4 linked regions of the Saccharomyces cerevisiae S288C genome follow. Changing the gene in region 1 together with any one later gene gives a genetic interaction. Each region holds a gene or a part of one and is shown in the gene's direction. Other genes may lie near its edges. The genes, in order: INO2, ERG11, STT4 and CHM7.

Evidence for each region.
Region 2: mutations in INO2 (region 1) and ERG11 together harm fitness more than expected from each alone (negative genetic interaction), as found in Saccharomyces cerevisiae (2 studies listed by BioGRID).
Region 3: mutations in INO2 (region 1) and STT4 together harm fitness more than expected from each alone (negative genetic interaction), as found in Saccharomyces cerevisiae (3 studies listed by BioGRID, with this or other methods).
Region 4: mutations in INO2 (region 1) and CHM7 together harm fitness more than expected from each alone (negative genetic interaction), as found in Saccharomyces cerevisiae (2 studies listed by BioGRID).

What each region holds. Positions count from the first base shown.
Region 1 is NC_001136.10:696,406-702,760, reverse strand, and holds INO2 (Ino2p), read left to right. Parts: upstream 1-3,292; coding exon 3,293-4,207; downstream 4,208-6,355. Other genes in the region: ECM18 (alpha/beta hydrolase family protein), read left to right, coding at 3-1,364; YDR124W (uncharacterized protein), read right to left, coding at 1,472-2,446; serine/threonine protein kinase KIN1, read right to left, coding at 4,867-6,355. UniProt on the Saccharomyces cerevisiae protein: Positive regulatory factor required for depression of the coregulated phospholipid biosynthetic enzymes. Also involved in the expression of ITR1.
Region 2 is NC_001140.6:117,647-124,367, reverse strand, and holds ERG11 (sterol 14-demethylase), read left to right. Parts: upstream 1-2,684; coding exon 2,685-4,277; downstream 4,278-6,721. Other genes in the region: TDA3 (Tda3p), read left to right, coding at 1-259; superoxide dismutase SOD2, read left to right, coding at 778-1,479; YHR007C-A (uncharacterized protein), read left to right, coding at 1,603-1,818; STP2 (Stp2p), read right to left, coding at 4,929-6,554. UniProt on the Saccharomyces cerevisiae protein: Sterol 14alpha-demethylase that plays a critical role in the third module of ergosterol biosynthesis pathway, being ergosterol the major sterol component in fungal membranes that participates in a variety of functions.
Region 3 is NC_001144.5:736,458-747,373, reverse strand, and holds STT4 (1-phosphatidylinositol 4-kinase STT4), read left to right. Parts: upstream 1-3,510; coding exon 3,511-9,213; downstream 9,214-10,916. Other genes in the region: DPA10 (Dpa10p), read left to right, coding at 263-526; chitin deacetylase CDA1, read right to left, coding at 849-1,754; NEDD8-conjugating protein UBC12, read right to left, coding at 2,523-3,086, 3,221-3,223; aconitate hydratase ACO1, read left to right, coding at 9,826-10,916. UniProt on the Saccharomyces cerevisiae protein: Acts on phosphatidylinositol (PI) in the first committed step in the production of the second messenger inositol 1,4,5,-trisphosphate. STT4 functions in PKC1 protein kinase pathway.
Region 4 is NC_001142.9:344,193-350,848, forward strand, and holds CHM7 (phosphatidic acid-binding protein CHM7), read left to right. Parts: upstream 1-1,780; coding exon 1,781-3,133; downstream 3,134-6,656. Other genes in the region: ATP-dependent RNA helicase MTR4, read left to right, coding at 1-1,551; UBX6 (Ubx6p), read right to left, coding at 3,255-4,445; YJL047C-A (uncharacterized protein), read right to left, coding at 4,852-4,986; cullin RTT101, read right to left, coding at 5,388-6,656.

The sequences.
Region 1 (6,355 bases):
AAATGCTTTTAATAAAGAGGTACTTGATGGACCCTGAAAGTTTAAGGAGGCAGATAATGAATGTATATAAATGTTACATGTGGAAGAGAGCGTTCCACAGTAATAGAAGCCTACTGGAAGTTAAACGTCGTGAAAAGAGTCTCCAGAGAAAAATTTTGGAAAGGATTCTTAGACCCAAGGAGGAAAATGCTGTCAAAAAATCTGGATTCAAGCTATGGTCAAGCCATTTGAATAACCCACACAAAACTTATATGCGGCTGGAGGAATTACAGAGACGTATTATGGAAGAGGTACACGTTGAAGGTATTAAAAAGAATGATAAGTTATTCAACGAAATAAATCAATGGCATTTCCAAAATGAAAACACAAGTACTGTTCGAACACCAACATTGCTGATACATGGCTATGCCGCATCTTCAATGTCTTTTTTCAGAAATTATCCAGGTCTGTCCAAGCACATCCGAAATTTATACTCAATTGACATGCCAGCGAGCGGATTGTCTTCAGTACCGTCTTTAGAGATCAATACAACAACACCTCTGCCGTTAGATATCAAATTTATTGGAGAAAATAAATTTAAGGTTCCATATACAATAAATGCAAATCACAATAAATTTGTGATTCAAATGTACGAAGATTTCTATCTCGACAGAATCGAGCAATGGCGCATTGATAACAAATTGGGCAAAATGAATGTTGTGGGGCATTCTTTTGGCGGATATTTATCTTTTAAATATGCTGTTAAATATCCAAACTCGGTAAACAAACTTTGCTTGGTATCCCCACTAGGAGTGGAAAGGAATATCTGGTCTGTAAATAATAATTTCCACTCCAACACTCTTTATACTATCGATTTTAAAAATCCAAATTCCAAGTTTTACTCCAAAAGAAATATGATTCCAAAATACTTATTTGAACAACAATTTCACATTTTGAGAATGATGGGACCATTAGGAGCTAAGTTATGTTGGAATTACATAATGGCGGCATATAGCCGAGTCCCATCGTTGGCATACAAAGAGTACATATTTGAACTGTTTTACGGTAAGGGAGGTATACCGGAGGTTACGACAGATATTTTCAAAGCGTTATTTTCAAGATGTATCCTAGCAAAGGACCCCTTGATGGATTCTCTGCAATATTTAAATGTTAAGAAATTATTGATAGTATATGGGCAATATGATTGGATGAATAAAAAAGCCGGTATGTTCATGGTCAAAGAGTTGAACAATTTAAAGAACTGTCTAGAAGGAGCAAGTTATTTAGAAATACCTTCTTCCGGTCACAATCTTTTTTTAGATAACCCAGAATCATTCAACCAATCTATAGTGTCCTTCTTATCAGACGAAACTAAATCGCCTTGATAGCAACCAAATCAAGTAGCAAAGAGCCAAAAAATGTGTTAATGTATGCTATCCCCCTTTTTGCTTTTGCGCTCCTCACACCTCTTTTCTTTGCTTTGAAATTTTTCTCAAATAAAATCTTTACAATCATCGCTACTAGTTAATTCATCCAATTTAGTGAGGAATAACGGATCAAATTCCACTAAATTTTCTAATCGAGATATGCTATTCGAATAATCCTCCGATACAGGGTCTTTCGGATATTCCCTGGGGAAATACTCTGTGTCACTTTCTTTTGAAGGAAGGATCATCGAGGGTGAAGAATCGCTTCCACTTGACTGTTGTAACAAATCTTTTTCTACCTTAACCATTTTATTTACATCAAATCGACGACTATGGTATGATTTTTTCTGTTTTTGGGCTAGGTCATTTAAATCATCAAGTGATATGGTCTTCTGCTTGAAATCTTTGTTGCACAAGCATTTCGCAATTTCGAAAACATTTTTCATGATTACTTTCTTCACAGTTTCTTTCTTAAAAATGGTCATTGCGGCGGTCACTCCTGTAAGCTCGTCCAAAATCTCAAGGCTGAAGGGAGATTGCGGTAGAACATTCATAATTATCGTGCACATCAATTTCAGTCGATCCGCTTTCTGGAGGTGGTCCGGCTCTTTATGTTCTACATCTTTTGGCCACCATTCCGGCCTTCCAGCATTGCCTTTAATGTATGGAAACCTGGTTTTCTTCCTTGGCTCAATAATTTTTATCCACAACTTAGCAATCGCCTTGCATGGGACCTGTCTTAATAATTTAAAAGCCGTATACAGATAATTCTGTATTAGTAGGGGTTGATCTAAGGGTAGCATGATCGCTGGTTGGATATTTTCTTCATAAACAGTTATTCTTTTCCTATTTACCAATGGATCGAACGTGAGTGGAGGGTTTTTTTCAATTGAAGATGATATAAAACTCTCTGAGAACAAGTTTTTTGGAATTGACTCACTTATTAAATGGTCTTTTTCCTTTATGAACACCATAAACTCATATCCTTGACCATTTAGCAGCGCCAGCGCCCTTCTAAGCTCTTCCATACCTATACGCATGTACTTAAGCTGACTCTATCGAAAAATGACGTACGCACAAATGCACATGTATACATACGCAATCCATCCTTTATATAAGCTGAGAAACAAGCAGAGGAACCTGCTTCAGTTGGGCCATCCCTTCGATGCTATATACTTCTAATCTTAAACTCTTCACTAAGACTTCGCAGGCACCGCTTCAAGGATGTCTCAGGTCGCGAGATTACTACAACAACTTAAAACAACCCTGATGCAACTGCAGCGTGCTGTTTTTCAACAGTACAAGAAAAAGTTCCATATTGTGCCATTGCCGATGCCATTGCAAAGGAATTTGTTCTCAGTCGCATCTCTCCTTTACTGCAGATCTGAGTTACTTTGAATCCTTGATAATATGGATCGAGTGCCTCTTCCATTATTTCTATTATTATAATCTCAACGCTTAATATGAATTAACCAACCACACTCAAACCAAATCTACGCCAGCTACAAATGGTAGGAGAATGAAGACACACCAGGACTCAAACAGGATTTCCCAACAATGTCTTTCAACATGCTGCTTGCCGGTCACTACTGCACTTCCTGCGCCTTTTCCGTTGAATCACCCTCCATAGTGCGGCAGATGGAACCAACCTAACCTTTTTTCAGCAGGAGGTAAAAAATTCGCCGGTTTTCTATCTCCCTCCGTCATCGGCAGGGCGTTGACACCTGTCCAAGTACAACACACATGTGAATTTTTTTCAGTGATTAAAGGCTCATCTCATCATATCTTATTGTAATCAGTATTTGGCGTCATAAGCAATTCGAAATTGGTTCGGTTCCATCTCGTTGACGTGCAATAAATAAATACATGGAACAGCAAAGGAGAAAATGCAACAAGCAACTGGGAACGAATTACTGGGTATCCTAGATCTGGATAACGATATAGACTTTGAAACTGCTTACCAAATGCTCAGCAGTAACTTCGACGACCAAATGTCTGCGCACATACATGAAAACACGTTTAGTGCAACTTCCCCTCCTCTGTTAACACACGAGCTCGGCATAATTCCTAACGTAGCAACCGTGCAACCCTCTCACGTAGAAACTATACCTGCCGATAACCAAACTCATCATGCTCCTTTGCATACTCATGCACACTATCTAAATCACAACCCTCATCAACCAAGCATGGGTTTTGATCAAGCGCTTGGTCTCAAGTTGTCTCCTTCCAGTTCGGGGTTGTTGAGCACGAATGAATCGAATGCCATTGAACAGTTTTTAGACAATCTAATATCACAGGATATGATGTCTTCCAACGCTTCCATGAACTCCGAATCACATCTACATATAAGATCACCAAAAAAGCAGCATAGGTATACCGAATTAAATCAAAGATATCCTGAAACACATCCACACAGTAACACAGGGGAGTTACCCACAAACACAGCAGATGTGCCAACTGAGTTCACCACGAGGGAAGGACCTCATCAGCCTATCGGCAATGACCACTACAACCCGCCACCGTTTTCAGTACCTGAGATACGAATCCCAGACTCTGATATTCCAGCCAATATCGAGGACGACCCTGTGAAGGTACGGAAATGGAAACACGTTCAAATGGAGAAGATACGAAGAATAAACACCAAAGAAGCCTTTGAAAGGCTCATTAAATCAGTAAGGACCCCACCGAAGGAAAACGGGAAAAGAATTCCCAAGCATATTCTTTTAACTTGTGTAATGAACGATATCAAGTCCATTAGAAGCGCAAATGAAGCACTACAGCACATACTGGATGATTCCTGAGCTCATACAAGCTATTAGTGATGAAAATGGCCTCCCGTTGGATGTATTTTTAGTTAATTTCGTATACATGGGCGAAAATATCATATGATTGCAAAGCTGGTCATGTAAATATATTCATTATAAACCAGACGGTAGAAAATCTCGTTTCTTTCCAGAGTGTAGCGTAGATTTTTGCGGACAAGAATTACCAGTATCTTCATTTTATTTAGAAGTTAAGAGAATCCGGAGGCAATGATGGTGAAGTAAAGAAATCTTTCAACGGCGAAGTATAATCTGTCTTCACAAACAGAATAACTGCGTACAAACTCGCAGTTATATGACCGTTACGAGTTGTATTGATTCAGTGAAGTAATAGTCCTATTACATCCATATGAATCCTGTCCTGGTAAACGGTGCAATGATCGCTCTACGTATACAAATTCTCTCCATCAATCGATGATGAACTGCTTTACACATAAAGTACGTGCCATTTATTTATAAATAATACCAATTAAGGGACGAAAATATTAACTGCTGAGTGTCTGCTTAGGTCCATTCTATTTCTTCTTTCCAAAAGAGAATAAAAAGAATCTATATATATATATAAATTTCTATCGAACGGATATTCTTGTTTTCGAATATCAAAAATGTAAGCTGTGGTTTCTCAGGGAACGTGTTACTTACAACTTTAGTTCTTTTAATATACTAGAAGCCAGCTCTTTATACAACCAAGTGTTCCCAGAAATTTTCTTAAAATGCACACCGGCTAAACCAACAATACGAACCTTGACGATATGAATTTCGAATTTGATGGGCTCTTTTTCTGTTGTAGTCATGCCTTCGCTACCGTCACCTTGTTGGTGGATGTTCTCCAAAGATGTTCCCGAATGCTTATCATCTCCATAGGTTTCGGTAATAGATGTTTTTCTCTGGTGAATGGAATTAGTTGTCAAAGGAGAAGAAGGTGAGTATTTATTAGAGCCTTGACGTCTAATGGATTCGTGGTGCGAAAGTGGCATGATCGATCTTGGAGTCCCTTCTCTCTTCGCTGCCACATTATTGGAAGAGAACCTTTGCATACAAACAAAACCACCCTTAACCTCCTTGAACTCTATATTCATTTTCCTCAGAACAAACATAATCTTGTATCTAACAATTGGCAAAGGCTTCGATGAAGTTGTCTGAACAGAAAAGAAACCCTTCAAAAATAAAGAACGGGGGAAATCGATGGATGGCATAGAACCGGCTGGAGCTCTAGAAGCTTCCTGCAATATCTCTTCATCTGTTAATTCCTTCTCCACAGATGGCGAGTTTATGTGTGCGTTCACAGAATGCACGCTGACGCTATCATTCGTCTGTGAAGTAACATTTCCCAAACTATCGGATTTGTTATCGTCACTTGATTCTAAGAACCCAGTATCTATAAGCTCTTGCTGAGGATAGGCAGATGAAGGCATTGGGGGTCTCATATATTTGAGTGATTCACGACGAGCATGACCAACTGATTTAGCTCTTGCGCTTGGATGTAGTTTTCGACCTTTTGCAACATTGAGAGGTGGTAAGGGATGATTCTCGTCGTCGTCGCTTCCTTCAAACTTCTGTGCAGCGTAAGCTTCCCGCCCGCTTCCTTTTGCAACTTCATTATTCTGTTTATTAATATCATGCAATTTCATTATATCTTCTTCAATTTGCTTCTCCCTTTGCTTCTCTACCATATTTTCTGCATCCGCAGGCAATGCTGGAAAGTCACCTTTATTGCCACCTCTGCTATCGTTTGTCTTGACAGGCTCATTCATGGTATAATTTGAATCATAACTCGGTTTAGCAAAACCAGGGACAAAGTCTGAAACAGCGCGAGAATGCGTCTTTTGCACAGGTTTATTGATACTATTATTACTATTAACAGATGTCTGTTCAATGGTCTTTTTACGGCGCTGTGATAATTTTCTAAATATATTCCCAAACTTCGCCTTTTCTGAGGGATCGCCAGTAGTTGAAGGTACCCTAAATTGTTGATAGTCATTTCCCTGAGGAGTTGGAGAGAGAGCATATTCCATTTCACGGCGTTGATTATCAGAACTTTTTCTACTCGTTGGTGACGTATGCGCTTGTTCTGGCATTGCTAACCTCGGTGGAATTAAGACATGTAAGGGGGGCTCTGTGCCATCG
Region 2 (6,721 bases), on another chromosome or scaffold:
TCTATCAAAGGGCCATCTCTTGCGGAAACAAGCCTGTTTTTTGCCAGTTTTAAACGTTCCTACAAGTTCTGGTCCCTTAATTGGTGAGACAAATGTCAAGGATCTTTATATTGCAAGTGGACATTCTTGTTGGGGTATTAACAATGCGCCAGCAACAGGTAAATTAATGGCTGAGATTCTCCTTGATGGCGAAGCAACCTCTGCGGAAATCTCAAGTTTGGATCCAAAGTTATATTTCGACGCCACCATCCTTTCTTAATCAAGCCGAGGAGTAAAAAGGTCAAGAAAAGTATATGCACAAATTTGTACATATAAGAGCTTATTTATTTATATATTTAAAATTTCTGAGGCCATTTAATGTGTATATATTTAACGAATACCTAAATCTATATATTTCTTTTTTTTTTTTCTCTCTCTCTCTCTCTTTCTCTTTCTCTCTTGGCGTCTATCCTGTTTGCCCTTGCGCATGCTACCGATTGCACGTGTAGTATTCTACTTGAGGTTGAGCTGATTACTAATTGCTATTATCATTGTTGGCGCGACCTTAAACCTGGACCAATAACACAGGCCGAACCACTAGCTTCGCAAAAAAAAAAGTAGGGATGTGCCGAAAAATTTCCGCGACCGTAGCAGACACCCCTGATGAAGAAGCTATAACTTGTATATAAGAGCGTTGCATCCCCAAAATATACAAGCTAGCTACAGCGATTGCTTTTCACTTGCTGCTACAGGAACGAAACCCCAATTGATAACTATACCTCCTAAAAACGTACCAGGATGTTCGCGAAAACAGCAGCTGCTAATTTAACCAAGAAGGGTGGTTTGTCATTGCTCTCCACCACAGCAAGGAGAACCAAAGTCACCTTGCCAGACTTGAAGTGGGACTTCGGTGCATTGGAACCTTATATCTCCGGTCAAATCAACGAATTGCATTACACCAAGCACCATCAAACTTATGTGAACGGATTCAACACTGCTGTTGACCAATTCCAAGAACTCTCAGATCTTCTGGCCAAGGAGCCCTCTCCCGCAAACGCAAGAAAAATGATTGCTATCCAACAAAACATCAAGTTCCATGGCGGTGGTTTCACAAACCACTGTCTATTCTGGGAAAACCTGGCTCCAGAGTCGCAGGGCGGTGGTGAACCACCCACCGGCGCTTTGGCAAAGGCAATCGACGAGCAGTTTGGCAGTCTGGACGAGCTGATTAAGTTGACCAACACAAAGCTAGCAGGCGTGCAGGGCTCCGGATGGGCCTTCATTGTGAAAAACCTCTCTAATGGAGGCAAGCTGGACGTTGTTCAAACCTACAACCAGGATACCGTCACAGGCCCACTAGTTCCTCTAGTTGCCATTGACGCCTGGGAACACGCCTACTACTTGCAGTACCAAAACAAGAAAGCCGACTACTTCAAAGCCATTTGGAATGTGGTCAACTGGAAAGAAGCATCCAGAAGATTCGATGCTGGCAAGATCTGAAGAAAGAAAGAAAGAAAATACCTTTTTTTTTCCACTGTGTCGTTTTTATTCTAACTACTCTACTAAATCACACAACCACACTCCCCTATTTAATAATATATTTTACTATTAAAATACATATACATGCATCGTAAAAAAAGAAAAAAAGAAAAGAAAAGAACCGAAAAAGACAATACAACCAACCTTCCTCCACTTTTTCTTTTTCCTTGTTCTCTCTCGCTTCCTACGTTACTCGCGCCTGTGCACTACATTCCCACCAGATTAACTCACCACCAGGCAGAGAACCAATTGTTCTTGTTATTGTTCCAACCGATAATTGTAAAGCCATTAAGGTCGTAAACGACTGCTTACTCAGGGAGATCTCCGAAAACGGCAATTGCTGTGCACCGTGCGACGTTATGATCGCCGCCTGTCCCGTACAGACGAACAATTGCAACAATGGGCGGTTGTTTAGAGAGGTTTTGTGCCGCGCCCGGGAATTACCGGGGGCACAGCAAAATACGAAATTTCCGGCAAAATGTCTCTGTACGAAAATGAGGCCAGCCTTTATTCCCGACTAAGCCGTACGATTATAGTAATGTCACACGAAGTGGATACTATACGAGCAGCGCACATACAATGTGCGTGCAAGATTTGCCGGGTTGGACAATCTTAAAGGCCGATAATCCACGAAAAACGAGACAAACGAAGCGCTGGCCCTAAACGAAACGAAACGAAACTAAGATTTCAAGATAATCGCTTTTCAGATGACAATAGTCTCTTGCAGAACACAATAAGTGTGGTAGGTATCTTGCAGGAGACATCGATTTTATGCCTGAATTTTTTTTTTTTCTTGGTATGAGCACATCCTATTGTGCATCTCCACGAGTTAACGACGTTTACGTACTCGCATGTATTCGAAAAGCCTCTAAAAATTGCCCTCCATGTGTATTCATTATATAAGATAGCGTATTTTCCCTTAGTTTTCTTATTCCCTCTTAATTCTCTCTTTCAATGTCTTTTTTTTTTTCCCTTTTCCTTTTTCCCTTTTCGTTATTGGTAAATTATTTATAAAAAGATTGATAAGCAGTATCGTTCAGCGTGTGTATTTTCGATAGGAAGTAATAATTTTTCATTATATTAATTAATAGTTTCCAGAAAAAATTTTTTTTCCTTCACAATTGCAGCAGGCTTGAATAGAAACAGAACAAACGAGTAATACAAGGATGTCTGCTACCAAGTCAATCGTTGGAGAGGCATTGGAATACGTAAACATTGGTTTAAGTCATTTCTTGGCTTTACCATTGGCCCAAAGAATCTCTTTGATCATAATAATTCCTTTCATTTACAATATTGTATGGCAATTACTATATTCTTTGAGAAAGGACCGTCCACCTCTAGTGTTTTACTGGATTCCATGGGTCGGTAGTGCTGTTGTGTACGGTATGAAGCCATACGAGTTTTTCGAAGAATGTCAAAAGAAATACGGTGATATTTTTTCATTCGTTTTGTTAGGAAGAGTCATGACTGTGTATTTAGGACCAAAGGGTCACGAATTTGTCTTCAACGCTAAGTTGGCAGATGTTTCAGCAGAAGCTGCTTACGCTCATTTGACTACTCCAGTTTTCGGTAAAGGTGTTATTTACGATTGTCCAAATTCTAGATTGATGGAGCAAAAGAAGTTTGTTAAGGGTGCTCTAACCAAAGAAGCCTTCAAGAGCTACGTTCCATTGATTGCTGAAGAAGTGTACAAGTACTTCAGAGACTCCAAAAACTTCCGTTTGAATGAAAGAACTACTGGTACTATTGACGTGATGGTTACTCAACCTGAAATGACTATTTTCACCGCTTCAAGATCATTATTGGGTAAGGAAATGAGAGCAAAATTGGATACCGATTTTGCTTACTTGTACAGTGATTTGGATAAGGGTTTCACTCCAATCAACTTCGTCTTCCCTAACTTACCATTGGAACACTATAGAAAGAGAGATCACGCTCAAAAGGCTATCTCCGGTACTTACATGTCTTTGATTAAGGAAAGAAGAAAGAACAACGACATTCAAGACAGAGATTTGATCGATTCCTTGATGAAGAACTCTACCTACAAGGATGGTGTGAAGATGACTGATCAAGAAATCGCTAACTTGTTAATTGGTGTCTTAATGGGTGGTCAACATACTTCTGCTGCCACTTCTGCTTGGATTTTGTTGCACTTGGCTGAAAGACCAGATGTCCAACAAGAATTGTACGAAGAACAAATGCGTGTTTTGGATGGTGGTAAGAAGGAATTGACCTACGATTTATTACAAGAAATGCCATTGTTGAACCAAACTATTAAGGAAACTCTAAGAATGCACCATCCATTGCACTCTTTGTTCCGTAAGGTTATGAAAGATATGCACGTTCCAAACACTTCTTATGTCATCCCAGCAGGTTATCACGTTTTGGTTTCTCCAGGTTACACTCATTTAAGAGACGAATACTTCCCTAATGCTCACCAATTCAACATTCACCGTTGGAACAAAGATTCTGCCTCCTCTTATTCCGTCGGTGAAGAAGTCGATTACGGTTTCGGTGCCATTTCTAAGGGTGTCAGCTCTCCATACTTACCTTTCGGTGGTGGTAGACACAGATGTATCGGTGAACACTTTGCTTACTGTCAGCTAGGTGTTCTAATGTCCATTTTTATCAGAACATTAAAATGGCATTACCCAGAGGGTAAGACCGTTCCACCTCCTGACTTTACATCTATGGTTACTCTTCCAACCGGTCCAGCCAAGATCATCTGGGAAAAGAGAAATCCAGAACAAAAGATCTAAGGTTTGTAACTGAGAAAAAAAAAAAAAACAGAAAAAGAGAGAAGTTGTACATTCACGTGGGCCTTATCGCCACACTCATCCATCTCCAATGATTTATTTTATTTGCCAGTACGTTTGATATGACATCGAGTTATGTTCTTTAGTTACTTTCAAACTTGGACAACCATCCCGCATTATTTATGAGTGGTATGGTTTCACTTCTTTATTTATAAATATTTATACTACGAAATTATATATAGATTACATTTCTAAAACAACATCAAATATAAGGTTTATTTATGCAACATGCCTACTGGATTAGAAGAGAGAACACACAGCTCACAGGCCAAGCGGAAATAAAGCAGTCTTTTCGCAAACTTGTAAATCTTTTTGCAATTTAAATTAATCAAGAGAGGGCCCAGGAGGAGAGGAGTTTTGGGGAGGGGTCACTGAGGAAGCTCTCTTAAATATGGATTCACTGAAATAAATGTATATAAGATTCATTACTGCTTTTTATAGTGATAAATCCAAATGATGAGTGAATTGAACCATCCTTAGTATCCATTGTTTTATAAAGCACCGCTAAAAATAATATATTGCTACAAAAATGATATAATAATAATATTACGTAAAATACCTGAAACCGCCATAAAAATAATACCTGAATTAACCTTAAAATTCTATCCCATAAGCTTTTTTGTAAAGGGCCAGATAATCTTGAGTCTCCTTCAAATGATTCTCACCCAGAAGTTCAAAGTCCATTTGCTTCTGTAACATCTCATTAATGGAAATCATATTGCTTTCCTTTGACTGATTGATTGCGTCCTCCTCGGTTTTGTCTGGCTCCAACAACGATTGCTCTGAATCCAATGGGTATGACTTATTTGTTTCTGTAGTTGTTATTGGATCGCCTGAAAGTGGAGATAGCGCTGAGGAGGCAGAGGATAATGCTGGAGAATCCATATGCAATGTGTATCTTGATGATTGATACTCTTGTGGTACAGAAGATGCATTTTGGGGTGACAAAATTGGGGGAGATATTATTGACCACTCTTTGAGATTTTGGACTTCTGTAGGTCCTCTTGATTGTGTAGTTTGTGTAGGTCTTGATATTTGTTTGCGTTCAAACCATTGAGTGCCTATTCCAAAATCGTTTTTTTCGGTTTTGGTTGGTATGATCTTGTCATTAGGGCGTTCCTTGGACTGCATTACTGTCGCTTCTATACAATTCTTATTTTGTAAAGCTGGTTCGGAAACACTTTCGTCGGATGAGATGAACCTTGTTTGGCCATCCGAAGTCTTTATCATTTTCATTTTAGACGTCTTTTTCTTCTCTCGTATTCCCTCTGAATAGCCTTCTGGTAAACCTTTGCAACTCCCAGCCTCAATGTGGTTTTCCACCCAGCTCTCACTAGTGCTAAAGTGTTCCCCACATTGAGTGCACACTCCAGGTGATTTATTACGGTCCTGAGGCTTAACACCTTCTGGGTAAGTGAAATGTCTAGATTTCAAATGTGTTTTGTAGGTATCTCTTCTGCTAAACCCCCCAGAAGTATGGCATCGCAATTCTTGCGAAATGCTATTATCAAAAAATGGACAGTGATAGGCCTTCCTTTTCGCATGCTTTTTTATGTGTCGTGTTAAGTAACCTCTGATTCGGAACCTAGCATCGCAATAGTGACATATATATGGTAAAGTTTCGGATGACTCATCAGCAATTCCTTGAACCTCATCGGATAGGGGAGATTCATCAATACTTTTCTTCGATGCAGGAGTGATTACGCTACTTACGGGCGTGATTGGAAGGAAATTAGAGGGGAAAAGAGCTTTGTACTGGTCATTATTGATATAGGATTCCTCTAGCGGGGGAGAACTTATCAAGTCATTCTGTAACTTTGCTGGCTCGCCGCGGCTAGGGCCCCGTAAAATCGGTTCGTCCAAGTTCAACTGTGTAGTGACTGCACCATTATTATCAATTTTAATTGAGAAAGGTGTTTCTAGGTTATCCAAATTTAAAGCACAGGGTACAACTGAAGATTTTGATGTTAGACTCAATTGTTTGTTGTTCTGTTTGGGAAATAATTCGCTCACGTCAACCAGATCGTCCTTTTCGGTAGCACAGCAGTCTTTCTGTGGATGGTTCTGTTTCGCAGGTTCTAACTTTTCGAAAGGAGTACTTTTCGAAGATTTGTCGTCTTCCACATTGGGCACAATCACTTGCTGCACTAATGCTTTAAGGTAGTCATATATCCTTGTTAACACGCTGTTCCGTGTTGAAGATAGTGATAAGATAGGCATGATAATGGATTTCCTTACTTCCCCAACTTTTTGCTCTCTTGCATTTGTCTGTTTGTCGGATGATTAATCACTGTTTTTCATTTATTAATCATCGTTTTTCTCGCTTTTTGCCCGTATTGGAATGTGAAGAGAAAAAAAAAATGATAAGAATTCTAAAAAAAGATACT
Region 3 (10,916 bases), on another chromosome or scaffold:
ATTATTCAGTTTGCTGTTCGTGATGAGCCATCCCTGAATATGACTAATGTTAATGTTCAATTTGGGATCTTATTTTTTTTTGTGCAGTAATAAGAATCTTTGAAAAAAAACTATATAAGCCTATATAGTTTGTAAGATATAAGACAAAACACACCTGCTTTTCCACTACACATTTTCGTTATTATATAAAAAAGACAGCCAAGTATACTTGTCAACAAAATAAACTCATAGCAATTACACTATAAAAACAATAGCATCAAAAATGTCACTAAGAAACATATCAATGATCACAAAAAATTTGCAAACAACTGCCAAGTGTTATGTCCCAAAAAGTTCACCTACATCAACAACTATTCCGGTTATAAGGGATGCTAGTACTACTCAATGTCGCAGAATAACTACCGTCATCAATATTACGAGTCTGAAAGGATATTCTCCATCTCCAAGAACAGTTCATGATAAGCCAATTGTTATTTGCACTGACAACGAAGAGGTAGAGACTGTATCGGAGCACGTAAAAGTATAATTTGAATTAATCTACTCTTAACACTGTTCAAATGTACGTGTAACGTTTTGACGCTAAAAGATTCTAAAAAATTACTTTTTAAAGTTATACCCTCTGACTTTATGTGACATCAGCATCCTAAGTACCTACCGTTCATAATTTGACGCTTTTCCTTATACATTCAAGCATCGATATATATGATTTTTATATATGTCCTCTATTCTAATACATACTTTTTTACTTTTGAAATAACAAAATATTCTTTTTATTTTTGCGAGTTGAATAATTAAATAAGAGATCAAAGATATATAGAGAGAAACTTTATTTCTCGGAAATCTTACTTCTAGTCGTAGCGTTCGATGTAGTCTGTATCACCAATACATTCTGCAATTGTCAATTGGTCACTACCAATAAGTTCGTTGATTTTAATAGCAACCTCAACTGTTCTTCGTGCACCATCGTGCTCTAAGATCAAACCTTTCCGTTTTCCCTTCCAAGTATTTATGTCCATAAGTATTTCTTCCTCTGTTCTGAAATCATCATTAGTGATTAATTTCCAATCAAAAGTATCGAGATCCCACAAGACAACCGTTAGGCCAAACTGTTTTACTATAGCTCTAACCCTATTATCAATTGCACCGTATGGAGGCCTAAAATACTTGGGGAAATGTTTGCCTGTGGCATTCATAGCCCAAATTGACCATTCAATTTGGGCTACAATTTCTTCGTTTGATAAACTTGGCAAGAATTCATGTGACCACGTGTGTGTACCAATCAAATGACCCCTCTCTAAAATATGCTCATATATATCAGGATAATTAACAGTGTTTATCCCCAGAACAAAAAAAGTGGTTCTTTGTCTCAATTTCTTGAGCAATGCCTCTGTCGCCGGGGCCGGACCGTCGTCAAATGTTTGGGAAAGTTTGAAACACGAAGTTACATCATCAACATCGATGCAGTTATAGCAGTCAAATGAGCACTGCTCTCTAGAAATTTTGGGACACTGGCCAGGATAGTACCTATCTAATTCTGGCACTTCAGTAAGATTTATGTAATCTAGCGGAATATAAGGTGGGTCAATTCCAGGCCATTGTGTAAGATTAGTAAATTCTGTTAACCACTCTGGAAAGGGCGTTTGCATATCTACTTCCCCCATCAATGCGGTACTCCCATTTGACGCAAGGCAATTTCCCTGTTTTAGAAAAAATGCTGCGAACAGCACAGATTGTATTGTATTGAAAATTTTCATCTCTTTTCTTGTGTAAAAGTAAATCTATCACTTAATTTTGTTTCTCTATATTCCACTTTGCTTACTTCTAAGCATCTACTTTGTTAGAACTATTGGTCTTTTTGAAAACACAAAAGTAAATCAACCCACTTGTTGGTATTTTTCTCTTTTAATTGCGATTGAATGACGGCCGGTCCGGAAAATGTGACATCTGGAAAAGAGAAATGTTGAAGCTGCTTCCAAGTGCATGAGACAGAATTTTTTTTACAGAAAATAGAAAGCGTTATCTTGTTAAATATTACTAACTAGTATAGTCATTCATTTTTTTCTTCCATAGTTGTAATATCTTTATTTTTTGTAAGAATTAGCGATAGCTGAGATTGCGTTCTTCAACTTCCTGCTCTCTCTTAGTCTTCTATCCAGGGTATCTCACCTTCCTGATTATCTTGTCAATAGCCATGGCTTCGCTGTTTCTTTATTATAAGAAGTATTTTTTGTTTTCTTCAAGAAATTTTTCGTATTAATATCTTTATGTTTTGTTTGCCTTTACTGGCCAGAAATTTTATACTTATTTTGAATAGAACACATTAAGTTCTACAGGTACCTGCAAAATATCGAGACAAAAGTTTGAACGAGAATATAAGGAATGTTGGTCATAAGGCGTAAACTAACAGAAGATGGCGGTAGCAAGATGTTACCAAGGCGACAACTCGCCTAGTATGTCACAATTATCTATAATTTTATTGTTTATATATAATCAAATCAACCGAAAATTACTCTGAACTTGACTCAAGGAGAAACTATGTTATCATATTTGACATGTTCAATTGAACCTCCAGACATGGTCAATCTCACAGCTTCAGCAAATTCTTTCTCACCCTCACACAGTAACTTTGCTGCATCCTTGTTTAACGGGTCATTGGGATTAGGCTCCAAGAACAAGAAAAGAAGCCCGGTTATAATACTCTGCAAATCTAGAGCTGGCGACCAGTCTTCTCGAAGAATATTTAGGCAAACGTTCCCCTTTAAATCGATATTTGGATGAAAGATCTTCTTCAAACATACAACTTTTGGTGGTTCAATCGGATAAACTTCGTTAAAATCCAAATTGAAATTAATAGATCCATAATTATAATATCCTTCATCAGGCCTAACAATTACCTCCAATTTCGGCGATTGTGATCTATCCGCACTATCTGGTGATGTTATTACATTCAAAGTCACTGTTGGTGGGAGGTCCAGCGAATCAAGGTCCCTTTTCAAACGAATTCTTGCTGCCGATAAATTAGGCTGAATAGAACTGCTGTTTTCATTTTCTTTTTGCTTTTTCTTTTGTAATTGGCGTAATTTCAACTATTTGAATAAAGCCAAGAATATACATATCCAGTACACATATACATTCTCACCCCCCAAAAAGATTATGTTAGTATTTTCGATCGCTAAAAACCGCCAATGAGAAACGGAAAGATATAGTTGCATCTACGTACCATTTTTATTATCTTGTTTTATATTCTCTAACTGATTCTTTAATGTCTCTAAGTACATTTATGAATGATTGGCCTTTTTCATCTCATTTTACCTTTTGGCTGATATCATCAAACGGCACGCGCAGGGATGAAGGTACGTTAATAGTATTTTTTTTTTTCAAGAATACTGCGAAGATGTTTGAGTTGTGGGAAAAAACATATTCAACATTAATAACTATTGTAAATCAAGAAAAAAATTAGATCACAAAAAGATAACTACAGCAATCGAAAACGCCACTCGTTTAAGGCAGATGAGATTTACCAGAGGATTGAAAGCCTCTTCATCTTTAAGAGCGAAAGCTATTGGAAGACTAACTAAACTTTCGACGGGTGCACCAAATGATCAAAACAGTAATGGTACAACATTAGATTTGATAACTCATACATTGCCTATTTTTTATTCCACAAATACGTCAAAGATATATACTATACCACTTACATTGAGTGAATGGGAAGTACTAACTTCGCTTTGTGTTGCAATCCCTACCACGCTCGATCTGGTAGAGACAATGCTTAAAGAAATAATTGCGCCTTATTTTCTGGAAACTCCAAGACAAAGAATTTCAGATGTTCTGTCCTCGAAATTCAAGTTGGAACAGATGAGAAATCCGATTGAATTGCTAACTTTCCAGCTGACTAAGTTTATGATTCAAGCTTGTGAACAGTATCCCGTTCTTTATGAAAATATAGGCGGCATCATTTCAACTTATTTTGAGCGTGTATTAAAGATTTTTACTATTAAACAATCTGGTCTACTATCATTAGTGGGCTTTATTAATGCATTTATCCAGTTTCCCAACTCTACAGAGCTTACTAAATTCACCTGGAAAAAGTTAGCGAAACTTGTGCTTCGTGGATCATTTCTAAACGAAGTTGATAAGATTTTGAATTCCTCAGCAACGTTTACCAATGATTCAATCGTCCAGTATTACGATGCTGGAAATGAGCTATCCAGTGCCTACTTATTGGAATTAATATCTCGCTTGCAAGTTTCGCTAATATCTCATCTGTTAAACACTTCACATGTCGGCGCCAACTTGAGTGAGTTCTTACTAAATCAACAATACCAATTTTACAAATTTGATCAAGAAGTAGCCGATGAAAACGATGATACGAAGTGTATTGATGACTTTTTTTTCAACGTAAGAAGCAATAAACAGTTTTTTACAGACATGTGTAAAATTTCCCTGCAATTTTGTTCTGAGTCACATATTCTCGACCTATCTACAGACAACCGTGCAAGATTTTCTTTTGATACTCGAGCCCACTACCTACAAACGCTATGTTTAATTCCGTTTATAGAAGATACAGAAAGCGAGCTTTTTGAAAGTTTTACAAACGTTGTTTCTGAATCTATTGATAAATTTTTCTTATCTGATGTCGTTACACCATCTTTGATAAAAGCAATTGTAGCTTCTGCCTCATTACTGAATTTTTTCACGGAAAAATTGTCATTAACTCTGATTCGTATGTTTCCTTTATTGGTAGCGTCTCCACATATCACGACTGAAACAGTTAATGATGTTGCAAAAATATTCACCACAGGGTTATACCCTCTAAATGAAGATGCAATTGTGAGTACAATTTATTCCATGAACAACTTATTAGCTGTTTCCGAGGACGGATCGCCCGTCCCGGTGCTCCGTGAGCGCCAATTAACAATAACATCTGGAAAAAATATTGAGAAAGACTACTTTCCCTTGCGAAATTCATCTGCCAGTTTGGATGGCACTGGTGCTCTGCTCGGAAATACAACTGTGGGCCAACTTTCCTCCCATGATGTCAATAGTGGAGCTACTATGACATACCATGCCTCTTTGATATCTAATTGTGTGGCTGCAACGACTACAATCGCCTCATACTATAACACCCAAAGCATAACAGCTTTGACTATCTCTATTCTTACGCAAAAAGTTAATTCTATGTCAAAGGAATTAGACGGTGTTATTTTGAATTCTTTGGCAAGACTGGCTCCGAATACTTCACTGACAGAATTTTCGCTTTTACTAAAGTTCTTCAAATCGAGAACTGTTATTGCAACAAAAATTGATGATAGCGCACTATTGAAAAATATTATTAAAGCGAAATGTGTGATATCAAAAGAATTGTTGGCCAGGCATTTTTCAAGTGACTTATATTTCATGTATCTTCATGATCTATTGGACTCAATCATTGCCAGTGGGGAAGTAGAACGATTGGAACATCACAGACCTCAAACGGAGATTTCCCGTGTTGCTGATCAAATCGCTACCTACTTAGAGCCCCTCGCCGCTCTACTACCTGTTCCAGGCGATACGCCATTGGACATCAATAAGGATGAAGTCACTACAAACAAGTTTAGGAACGCCTGGTTTAATTTTGTCATCCATGGGTACCACTTGGGCGGGCCTATTGTCAAACGAAATTTTTCTTTCTTATTAACTATTGCCTATAATTCACCACCGCTGGCTTCTGAATTTCCTGCTAATAACAAGGAGCTTTCATTGGAAATGAATACAATTTTGCGCCGCGGTTCATCTAACGAAAATATCAAACAACAAAAACAGCAGATAACCGAATATTTCAATACCAATATTGTTCAGTACAGAACAACTTCATCGTCTAAAATCATGTTTTTAGCGGCTGCCGTTCTTCTAGAAACGATAAGATGCGAGGCAGGTGATTGTTCGAAGACTCTACTGTACTTCTCAGACCCCTCCATTCTTTCCGGTTCAATTGAGAAGTGTATTGCAGTTTTGTCGGTTTCCATGATTAGAAAATATGCTAGGTTGATTCAAAAGGGTAACGATGCCATATTCAACTCCAAAATGATTGCTCAACAACTTAATAACTTGCTACTTTGCCTTTCTCATAGGGAACCAACTTTGCAGGATGCCGCTTTTCATGCCTGTGAAATATTTATCAGATCTATTCCATCATCGTTATGTCATCATTTGTCTCTCTACACCTTATTAGATATGTTAACAGCCCTATTTGATAGTATCTTGGACTCAGAGGCGCATAAATTTGAACCACGGTATGAATTTAAATTAAAACATTCTAAGACAACAATATTGGTTCCAAGCTCATCGTCCTGGCGCGCTACGACACTATCAAGATTGCACAAGTCAGCTAAAGAATGGGTAAGAATTCTATTGAATAGAAGCAACCAGGATACTAAGATTTTGTTGCAATCATACATATCAGATCTCGGTGAGTACAGCAGGCTAAATTCTGTTGAATTTGGTGTCTCATTTGCCATGGATATGGCTGGTTTGATTTTACCTGCAGATAAGGAATTATCAAGGCTTACTTATTATGGTCCAGAGAAACCTAACACGATTTCTGGATTTATATCTTTACATTCTTGGAGGTCAAAATATCTTTTCGATACCGCTATTACATCATCACCAGAGGATATCAAAAGGCAAATAGGTATTTCCACTCAAAACATAAGAAAAAATTTGACCTTAGGAAATAAGATTATAACTAAAGACGTAACTGATTTTCTTGATATGGCTACCGCGTTGTTAATTCTTGGCAATGGTGCACCAGCGTCATTGATATATGATATTGTGCACATCCCGTTCGAAGTCTTCACCTCTGCATCTTTAAAGATTGCTACAAACGTATGGTTAACAATCATAACTGAGAAGCCCGAAGTTGCACATTTGCTTTTAGTTGAAGTATGCTATTGCTGGATGCGCTCCATTGATGACAATATTGGTCTCTATTCTCGCGATCATGACTTAAAGGGCGAAGAATACCAAAAAATGGAATATTCCCCTTACGACAAAGCAGGTATCAACAGAGATGCAAAAAATGCATCCCAAGCTATGCAACCACATCTTCATGTTATTAAATTTTTTGCTTCCCATTTCGAGGGCACACTATTTCAAAGTGACTTTTTATTGAAAATTTTCACGAAATGTGCGCTTTATGGTATCAAGAATCTGTATAAGGCTTCACTACACCCGTTCGCTAGAATGATTCGCCACGAATTATTGTTATTCGCGACTCTCGTACTAAACGCAAGTTATAAGCAGGGATCCAAGTATATGGGCCGTTTGTCGCAAGAAATCACAAACGGTGCCCTAAGTTGGTTTAAAAGACCAGTAGCGTGGCCATTCGGCTCAAATGAGCTGAAAATCAAAGCAGATTTATCTGTTACTAGGGACCTTTTCCTTCAGCTCAACAAATTAAGCTCGCTAATGTCACGTCATTGCGGGAAAGATTACAAGATCCTGAACTATTTCTTGGCAAGCGAAATCCAGCAGATTCAAACCTGGCTTACTCCGACTGAGAAGATTGAAGGAGCCGACAGCAACGAGCTTACAAGCGATATCGTTGAAGCTACCTTTGCTAAAGATCCAACATTAGCAATAAATCTCTTACAACGATGTTATAGCAAGAAAGCTGAGGATGTTTTAGTGGGCTTAGTTGCAAAACATGCTTTAATGTGTGTGGGGTCCCCAAGTGCTCTTGACCTGTTCATAAAAGGAAGCCACCTGAGCAGTAAGAAAGACCTACACGCAACCTTATACTGGGCGCCAGTGAGCCCGTTAAAATCTATCAACCTTTTCCTTCCCGAATGGCAAGGTAATTCTTTTATCTTACAATTCAGCATATATTCGTTGGAATCACAAGATGTGAACTTGGCATTCTTCTATGTTCCTCAAATCGTACAATGTTTGAGATACGATAAAACCGGATATGTCGAAAGATTGATTTTGGATACTGCGAAAATTAGTGTGTTATTTTCTCATCAAATAATCTGGAATATGCTTGCAAACTGCTACAAGGATGATGAAGGTATACAAGAAGATGAAATCAAACCAACTCTAGATCGTATTAGGGAGCGTATGGTTTCAAGTTTCAGCCAATCTCATCGCGATTTTTACGAACGTGAATTTGAATTCTTCGACGAAGTAACTGGCATATCTGGTAAGTTGAAACCATACATAAAAAAAAGTAAGGCTGAAAAGAAACATAAGATCGATGAAGAAATGAGCAAAATTGAGGTGAAACCTGATGTTTATTTACCTTCTAATCCTGACGGTGTAGTTATTGATATTGATCGGAAGAGTGGTAAGCCACTTCAATCTCACGCAAAGGCGCCTTTTATGGCGACCTTTAAAATAAAGAAAGACGTAAAAGATCCTTTGACAGGTAAAAACAAGGAAGTTGAAAAATGGCAAGCTGCTATCTTCAAAGTCGGTGATGACTGTAGGCAAGATGTTCTAGCGTTACAATTGATCTCGCTATTTAGAACCATTTGGTCTAGTATTGGCTTGGATGTCTACGTTTTTCCCTACAGAGTTACTGCGACGGCACCGGGTTGTGGTGTCATCGATGTGCTACCCAATTCGGTATCCCGTGATATGTTAGGACGTGAAGCTGTTAATGGATTATATGAATATTTCACTAGTAAATTTGGTAATGAATCTACTATCGAATTTCAAAACGCACGAAACAACTTTGTTAAATCCTTAGCGGGATATAGCGTAATTTCGTATTTGTTGCAATTCAAGGATAGACATAATGGTAACATTATGTACGATGATCAAGGACATTGTCTACATATCGATTTTGGGTTTATTTTTGATATTGTCCCAGGTGGTATCAAGTTTGAAGCAGTACCATTCAAGCTGACGAAAGAAATGGTTAAAGTGATGGGAGGTTCGCCCCAGACCCCAGCGTATCTGGACTTTGAAGAACTTTGTATCAAGGCATATCTAGCCGCCCGTCCGCACGTGGAGGCCATAATTGAGTGTGTAAATCCTATGTTAGGAAGCGGTCTCCCCTGCTTTAAGGGTCACAAGACAATTAGGAATCTAAGAGCAAGATTTCAACCTCAAAAAACCGATCACGAAGCTGCACTATATATGAAGGCGCTAATCCGTAAAAGTTATGAAAGTATATTCACTAAAGGTTATGATGAATTCCAAAGGCTCACAAATGGCATTCCGTACTGATATACTTCGCACTTTACATATGCTTATATAAAAATACCAGTTTCCCATCGTCAATTACGCAGACGTAGCCTTCGTTTATTTTCTCTCTTTTTGTATATCATTGTATTAATCATAATCCATTGTATTTTACTTTGTCTTATCTGGCTTTAATGAATGACGCCGGTCACACGCGGGTGCCTGATTCTCGATTGTGCCAAGCCATTTGGGCACGGTGTCAAATTACCTAAAAAATGGCCGAGAGCCGCAAAAGGGAGGTCCGCGGGGCCGGGCAATACCCTTTGTTTTTCGAGCATTTCGGCGCCGAAATCGGCAAAGGTCCTGACCAATCAATAGAGAAATTAGTGCATACGAGAAAAATTTGAACCCTTCAGTTGTTCTCCGCAGGCGACTTTAACCATCAAACCTCCAATCGCTGCCGGTTTTCGGAAAGGCAAGCACAAAAAGGGAGGACAAGGAAAATCTTTTGTTATATATATAATCTTCCGGTTTTAGAGGTTAATTAGGAGGAGTATGTTGCTTAATTCCGTTGTCCCTTGTTCTGTTCACTCTTTCTTAGTTATTACATAGTAGAACGAAGGTAATAAATACTACCATTATTACTATAGATATACAATGCTGTCTGCACGTTCTGCCATCAAGAGACCCATTGTTCGTGGTCTTGCGACAGTCTCCAACTTGACTAGAGATTCAAAAGTCAACCAAAACTTATTAGAAGATCATTCTTTTATTAACTACAAGCAGAATGTGGAAACGCTGGATATCGTAAGAAAAAGATTAAACAGGCCATTTACCTACGCGGAAAAGATTTTGTACGGTCACTTGGATGACCCTCATGGTCAAGATATTCAGAGAGGTGTTTCATACCTAAAATTAAGACCAGATCGTGTTGCCTGTCAAGATGCTACTGCTCAAATGGCTATTTTACAATTTATGTCCGCTGGTTTACCACAGGTTGCTAAGCCAGTCACTGTCCACTGTGACCATTTGATTCAAGCACAAGTTGGTGGTGAAAAAGATTTGAAGAGAGCTATAGATCTAAACAAGGAAGTTTATGATTTCTTGGCCTCTGCCACTGCGAAATATAACATGGGTTTCTGGAAGCCAGGTTCCGGTATCATTCACCAAATTGTTCTGGAAAACTACGCTTTCCCAGGTGCTTTGATCATTGGTACTGACTCCCATACACCAAATGCTGGTGGTTTAGGTCAATTGGCTATTGGTGTTGGTGGTGCTGATGCCGTTGATGTTATGGCAGGTCGTCCATGGGAATTGAAGGCTCCAAAGATCTTAGGTGTTAAGTTGACTGGTAAGATGAACGGTTGGACTTCTCCAAAGGATATTATTTTGAAATTGGCTGGTATCACAACTGTCAAAGGTGGTACTGGTAAAATTGTTGAATATTTCGGTGATGGTGTTGACACCTTCTCCGCTACTGGTATGGGTACCATTTGTAATATGGGTGCTGAAATCGGTGCTACCACATCTGTTTTCCCATTCAACAAATCTATGATTGAATATTTGGAAGCAACTGGTCGTGGTAAGATCGCTGACTTTGCTAAATTATACCACAAGGACCTATTATCTGCTGATAAGGATGCTGAATACGATGAGGTCGTCGAAATTGACTTGAACACTCTGGAACCATACATCAATGGGCCATTTACCCCCGATTTGGCTACTCCAGTTTCTAAGATGAAGGAAGT
Region 4 (6,656 bases), on another chromosome or scaffold:
ATGATTGATGAAAAAATGGAACCTCAAGTTGCTAAAGGAATGGTTAAGGGCCAAGCAGATAGGCTAGACTCGGCTTTTCACTTAGGATATAATATGATTTTGAACTTAATGAGAGTTGAAGGTATCTCTCCGGAGTTTATGTTGGAGCATTCTTTCTTCCAATTTCAAAACGTTATTTCAGTACCAGTTATGGAAAAGAAACTTGCTGAACTGAAAAAAGACTTTGATGGCATCGAAGTCGAAGATGAAGAAAATGTTAAAGAATACCATGAGATTGAGCAGGCTATCAAAGGTTACCGTGAAGATGTTCGTCAAGTTGTCACCCATCCGGCAAACGCCTTAAGTTTCCTACAACCAGGCAGATTAGTTGAAATCTCTGTCAATGGTAAGGATAACTATGGCTGGGGTGCTGTTGTCGATTTTGCTAAAAGAATTAACAAACGCAACCCAAGTGCTGTCTATACAGACCATGAATCCTATATTGTCAATGTGGTCGTCAATACCATGTATATAGACTCTCCAGTCAACTTGTTGAAACCTTTCAACCCTACCTTACCAGAAGGGATTCGCCCAGCGGAAGAAGGTGAAAAAAGCATATGTGCTGTTATTCCCATAACTTTGGATTCAATCAAGTCGATTGGTAATTTGAGACTATATATGCCCAAAGATATTAGAGCCAGCGGTCAAAAAGAAACTGTTGGGAAGTCTTTAAGGGAGGTTAATCGGAGGTTCCCGGATGGTATTCCCGTGCTGGATCCTGTTAAAAACATGAAGATCGAAGATGAGGACTTTTTAAAGCTAATGAAGAAGATTGACGTTTTAAACACAAAGTTATCCTCCAATCCCTTAACCAATTCCATGAGACTAGAAGAACTATATGGTAAATATAGTAGAAAACACGATTTACATGAAGATATGAAACAATTGAAACGCAAAATTTCAGAATCACAAGCCGTAATCCAACTGGACGATCTTCGTCGCCGTAAAAGAGTTTTGCGCCGTTTAGGATTTTGTACTCCTAATGACATTATTGAACTGAAAGGTAGAGTTGCATGTGAAATATCTAGTGGTGATGAACTGTTACTAACAGAATTGATCTTCAATGGTAATTTCAATGAGTTGAAACCGGAACAAGCAGCAGCATTATTATCATGCTTTGCATTCCAAGAACGCTGTAAAGAAGCGCCTAGATTGAAACCAGAGCTTGCCGAACCTTTGAAGGCTATGAGAGAAATTGCAGCAAAGATCGCTAAGATAATGAAGGATTCTAAAATTGAAGTTGTAGAAAAGGACTACGTTGAAAGCTTCAGACATGAACTAATGGAAGTTGTTTACGAATGGTGTAGAGGAGCTACTTTTACGCAAATCTGTAAAATGACCGACGTTTACGAAGGTTCGTTGATCAGAATGTTCAAGAGATTAGAGGAATTGGTGAAGGAGCTGGTAGACGTCGCCAATACCATTGGTAACTCTTCACTTAAGGAGAAGATGGAAGCTGTCTTGAAATTAATTCATAGAGATATCGTATCTGCTGGTTCTTTGTATTTATAGTTAATCACACACAATTATGTATTTTTATTGGTATATATAATAAACAAATAGATTTCATCAACATTTATTATATAATAACATTTTTGTTTGGGCAAGCACACTATTGATACACCCATACAACTCAATGAAGTGCAGCGTTAGTAGAGACAATAAGAGGAGTTTTAAATTCTTAAACTATATCTGGCAAAACACCACCAAAGCCAGCCAAATAGTATCTCACTGTATCTGAATGAAAGTAGATTTACCAGAATCCAGACTACCATCTTTATATAGAGATTTTAGGCCATTGAAAGATTTAAATCCCGATGGGTACGAAGCAAACATCAGTACATGGAGGGATTTCTTCTTGCAACAATACATCAGCAACTCCAACAGAATCATATTTACTATAGGGACAAGGACTTTGCAAGAATTAACTCATGAAGTTTATGGCGTACCGAAAAGCATTGATATAGCAATTGACGTTCTTGTTAATGAAGGAAATTTGATACCTATGGAATTATTCAATCTTGGTGGAATGTACACTGACAACAGTAGAAAAGGATTTTGGAAGTGGGTTAGAAGTTGGAAGGAGTCTACAAACATGTATAAAAGCCGGAAGGATGAAACAAATTTCTACTTGAGAGAAGACAAATTTATTATCAAAGCAAATTTGGAAAAAGAGTATCAAAGGTTTCATGAATTACTCAAAAGAAGTGTTTTTATGGAGGCTTCATCTATTACAGATTTAGTATTCACAAGGAATGAATTTGTGACCACAGAAAGTTTGCAGTCGTTCTTTTCAACCTATGATGAAGAAACGAAAAACGTGTTCCTGCACTTTATAGAGAATTATAAGCACATAATAGTTTCAAAAGACAATGTTATCAAAGTCATTGCCGCTGAAGTAGAAGACATTACTAGCAGGTTCTCCAAAGGCATCACAGAAAATGACCTTCGAATTGCTAGTGTTAAAGTGGGTATTATAAACATCAACAAACAAATTACAAGGCTAAGAAAAGAAATTAATGAATCTAACATTAAACTGAGAGGACCAGAGTTTAATGAGCTGCCGAAGAGAATAAGGATTGAATATAAACAGGCGAGATTACTATCTGAAAAACATCTTTCTAGGTTACTAAAGTTTCAAAATAACCTCGCTCAAGTAAGAACTCAAATAGACACCAGTGCTACTAATGCGGTTTTAATTCAAACTTTAAGTGAATCCAACGAAGTAATTAAGTCAATTAATGGATATATTGGTTCTACCGAAAAAGTAGAAGACTTACTAGATGAGATTAAAGAGGGTCATGACCGTACCGAAGAGGTCAATGATTTATTAGCTCATTATAATAAAGGTCAAGACGAAGAAGCAGAAGAAGAAATTGAAAGAGAATTAGAACAATTAGAACTTGATGAAAAGAATAATAATAAGGAAGAAAATAAGAACCAGGATTTGCACGAGCCAAAAGAAAGCAGTAGCGAGGATCTATTAAAGAGATTGAATAATCTGAAGATAAATACAAATGAAGGACCTGTGCAAGATAATGAAAACCACGATAATGAGATAAGAAAAATCATGATGGAAGAACAACCACGTTGACGAACTGAGTGACTAATAAATAAATATATATGTATAAATAAAAAATAAATATGAATATTTTAATAGACGGAAGAAAGAAAATATGTGTGAATAACCAAATAGGAAATAAACAAAAGCACATTTAATTGTTGCCGTTATTATTAGAGTAACCTAATGTACGAACTTTGGTATTAGATGCAGAATTATTGGAAGACAAGTTTAGTTCAGACACGTTTTGTCGCAATTGAGAAGTACCATTAGAAGGATACATCCTTGGGGTAGTATATGCTGAAGGAGTCATTGAATCACCACCACCTCCTCCTCCCCCGTCCGACACCATGTCTAAGCTAGATAATTTTTGTAAAGAGTAGTTGGCGCTGTTTGACACATTTGTGCCCAACCTCTGGTAACCAAGACGGGAGGAGGAAGCATCTACTTCCGGTTCTTTCGCCCAAAAAGATGTCAAACCTGAGTAAACCTTGTGTAGAAGAGAAGATTGTTCCATGTAGTCGAATGTTTTGTTATTGGCTTCCAGCGGTTCTAAGATGAGAGTCGATCTGGGCAACAGATCCAACTCTTGCAAACTTTTGAGTTCGTCATTTCGCGTAAGAGTCACTCTTGGTATATTTCTGTGGAAAAGGTAAGGTGTTCCATCATCGTAGCAATTATAGTCTAACCACATCCTTACTTTGTGTAATTTTGTTTGAGGAGGGAAAGTATTAGAGATTGTGTAACCATTGGGCAGTTTCAATTGTAGAGTACAGTAGTTCTGGGCGAGAAACCCCTTTTGACTCTTGTAACTAACATTATCAGTAACTGTCAACTGCTTCCACTTCTGTGGCTTTCTTTGCGGGTCATTAGTATTTTGAAAAACATACTTCCTCTCCAACTTGTCGTTCTGAATCATTCTTTTGACTCTTTGATATTCTTCATTGCTCTTGGAAAATAACTTCCTCTTTGTTACTTGACCCTTAAAGACTGATTGTAACCCATTGATAAAGGTTTCCCAAGGATCCTGCTCACGAGAAAGGCTATTACCTTGGATAGAACATTCGAGTAGACCGTTCTGTAATATGTTAATGCTTGGCGCCGATGAGGAGGGGAAAATGCTCTTGAAAAGCAAGCACTCTTTAGTACCATTTACTAACCTTACCCACAGTATGTTTTCGCGCTCCTCGTCACTAAGATTTCCTGGTTTGAACCACTGATGAAGCCAAGAATTGTCCCCGGCTGCTGAACTAATGTAAACGACGATAACCTGCTCACTAGTATGAGAGTAATCATGAACAACTCGATCATGAAAGAGGCTGTCTATACCTGACATCTCGTACATTTCTGTTATTCAATACCTGTAATTCACTTCCTTTGAGGGTCAAAAATGTCCCCTGTAAGCAAGTGTATAAGTATATAATTATATATATGTGCATATATATGTCCCTATACAACTACTAACGAATCTTAAAAGTTGACTATTCATGTGGAAAAAGTCCCTCTTCTAGGGTTGACGCGCTAGAGGTAAATCCATTAAGGTTCCTCCTGGCTTCGTTAACTCCGAAAAGAATAGCATGTGCAAGATGAGTTACCGAAAGAAGCAATAAAGAAAGCACGAGTACATGTAGAACAGGGGCACAGATAATACCAGACAGATGAGCCCACTTTTAAGAGTTTCAAAACTTCCACGAATGCACAGGGAGAATAAAGTACGCGCTGGGTCCGTTACGATTCGTGCTGCAAGAGGTTTAAAATCGCTCCACAATGGTCTCGCCCCTCGGCCCTTCTCCAATTACAAGCATATTACTAATACAGTTTTCGTTTCTTTTGTAATGTTCAGATAGGAGCGAAAGACTAATTTCGATGGAAATTTTTATCTTCATTTCGATAGTATGTTCAATCAGTTGAACTATGCATCTTTGGTTATCATCATTAACAAATTGAAACGAAAAGCTATCCTGCCAAGAAGGCCGGATAGAGAGATTGAAAAAGATATATAAAGTGTCCTTGTCACACTCATACAACACCTGTTGTATGTCAGGCATACGGCAAATTGACTACAGTTTGCATTTGCACTAATGTCGTTTGCAGTGTAACTGTTGTATTGAACGTGGACAAGGACAAGAAAGATAGTTTTTATCTCTTGATGTTTTTTTATATGGAGGAGAAAGCGACGAAGTCGAAAAAAACGAAAGGAAATAAAATGCTGTCGGAAAAAAAGTTAGGGCTGGTACGGATTATAAACTATCTCAGTAGTTAGGTAATATATAAGATGGCACCAGTCTTAGTACTTGTAAGTTGCTGTTGATTCGTCCCTAGTTATGAATTTGTCTCGTAACAACTTGGCCAAGGCGTCTTTGAACTCACCAACACTAAAGCCTTTTATCTGCTGCTTTACCGTTTCAAATAAATGGTCGTAGTCTAGCCCATTCCTCTCGCTCTTAACGGATCTAGTTATGCATGCCTTTAGTAATTCTTGGGTCCATTGGGAATTACTTCCTTCGTGGTGTGCAGAACTGGTTCTTTCACCGCCTGTGTTGCTACTTTGGAGAGACGCGGTTCTCGGTAGAACCACACGTAGTTTCCCATTTTTCACTTTTTTCATATCAGGTTTGAAGCTCTCGTTGATACTGTATGTGTTGTCAATATCTCTTGTCAGAATTTTATAATTGCAGAAGGATTTTAAGACTAGCGCTAAGTCTTTGTACGCCAGTTTCGTTTGCTCTGATATAACTTGCAAGGTCAAATGATCGCTTTCGTTGAATAAAGTCAGCACACATGTTTGGAAAAGGGTCAATTCAAATATTAGGTTAGTTCCATCCTGTATGATATAAGGCGACTCCACTTCGCAGTGGTGCAAGTTCCACATCGGATATAGCTCTTTTTTGGAAGCATCTGAATCTTCCACTTTATTCTGCTCGTGATAATTACGGAGAAATTGGTTCCACGTATCATCCATCTCTTGAGGTAGGACAAAATTTTTCTTTACTTCGTTGGATTGCTGAAAAACTTTGGGAATTCTTTCTCTATCAAAGATAAGTGGGAAAAATGACTTGCTGTTGTTTTCATTGTATGTCTTCCCGAACTTCACAGCAGCCTCGATATTCTCATAAAACGACAAGAACGATGCATATTTGATTCTCAGATCTGCCATAACCTCTACCGGCTGAAAGAATTGCGATAAATAGGGTTGATATTGATCTCGGTATCGCATTTCATCCTCTTGTGAGACATTTGTTATGATTCTTTGTTTGAAAAGTTCCATGAGGCTGTCTTTGTAAACAGGTAATATATCCTTAATAAATGAGGAATTTTGATCACTTTGTAAGATCGTCTTTCTGAAAATTGATCTTTCGAAAAAATTAGGAAATGTGGGAAGGTTAACGAACTTCAGTCTCAATATAGGAAGATTTTCGTTGAGATACTTTATTTTCATATCTCTGGGTAGGTCTTTTTTAGTTGTTTTTATCTTTCTGACGATGATGAATAAATGTGACTCAAAATATTTGACATACTGTTCTATGGCTTTGCTGGTACTTCCAAGTAAATTACA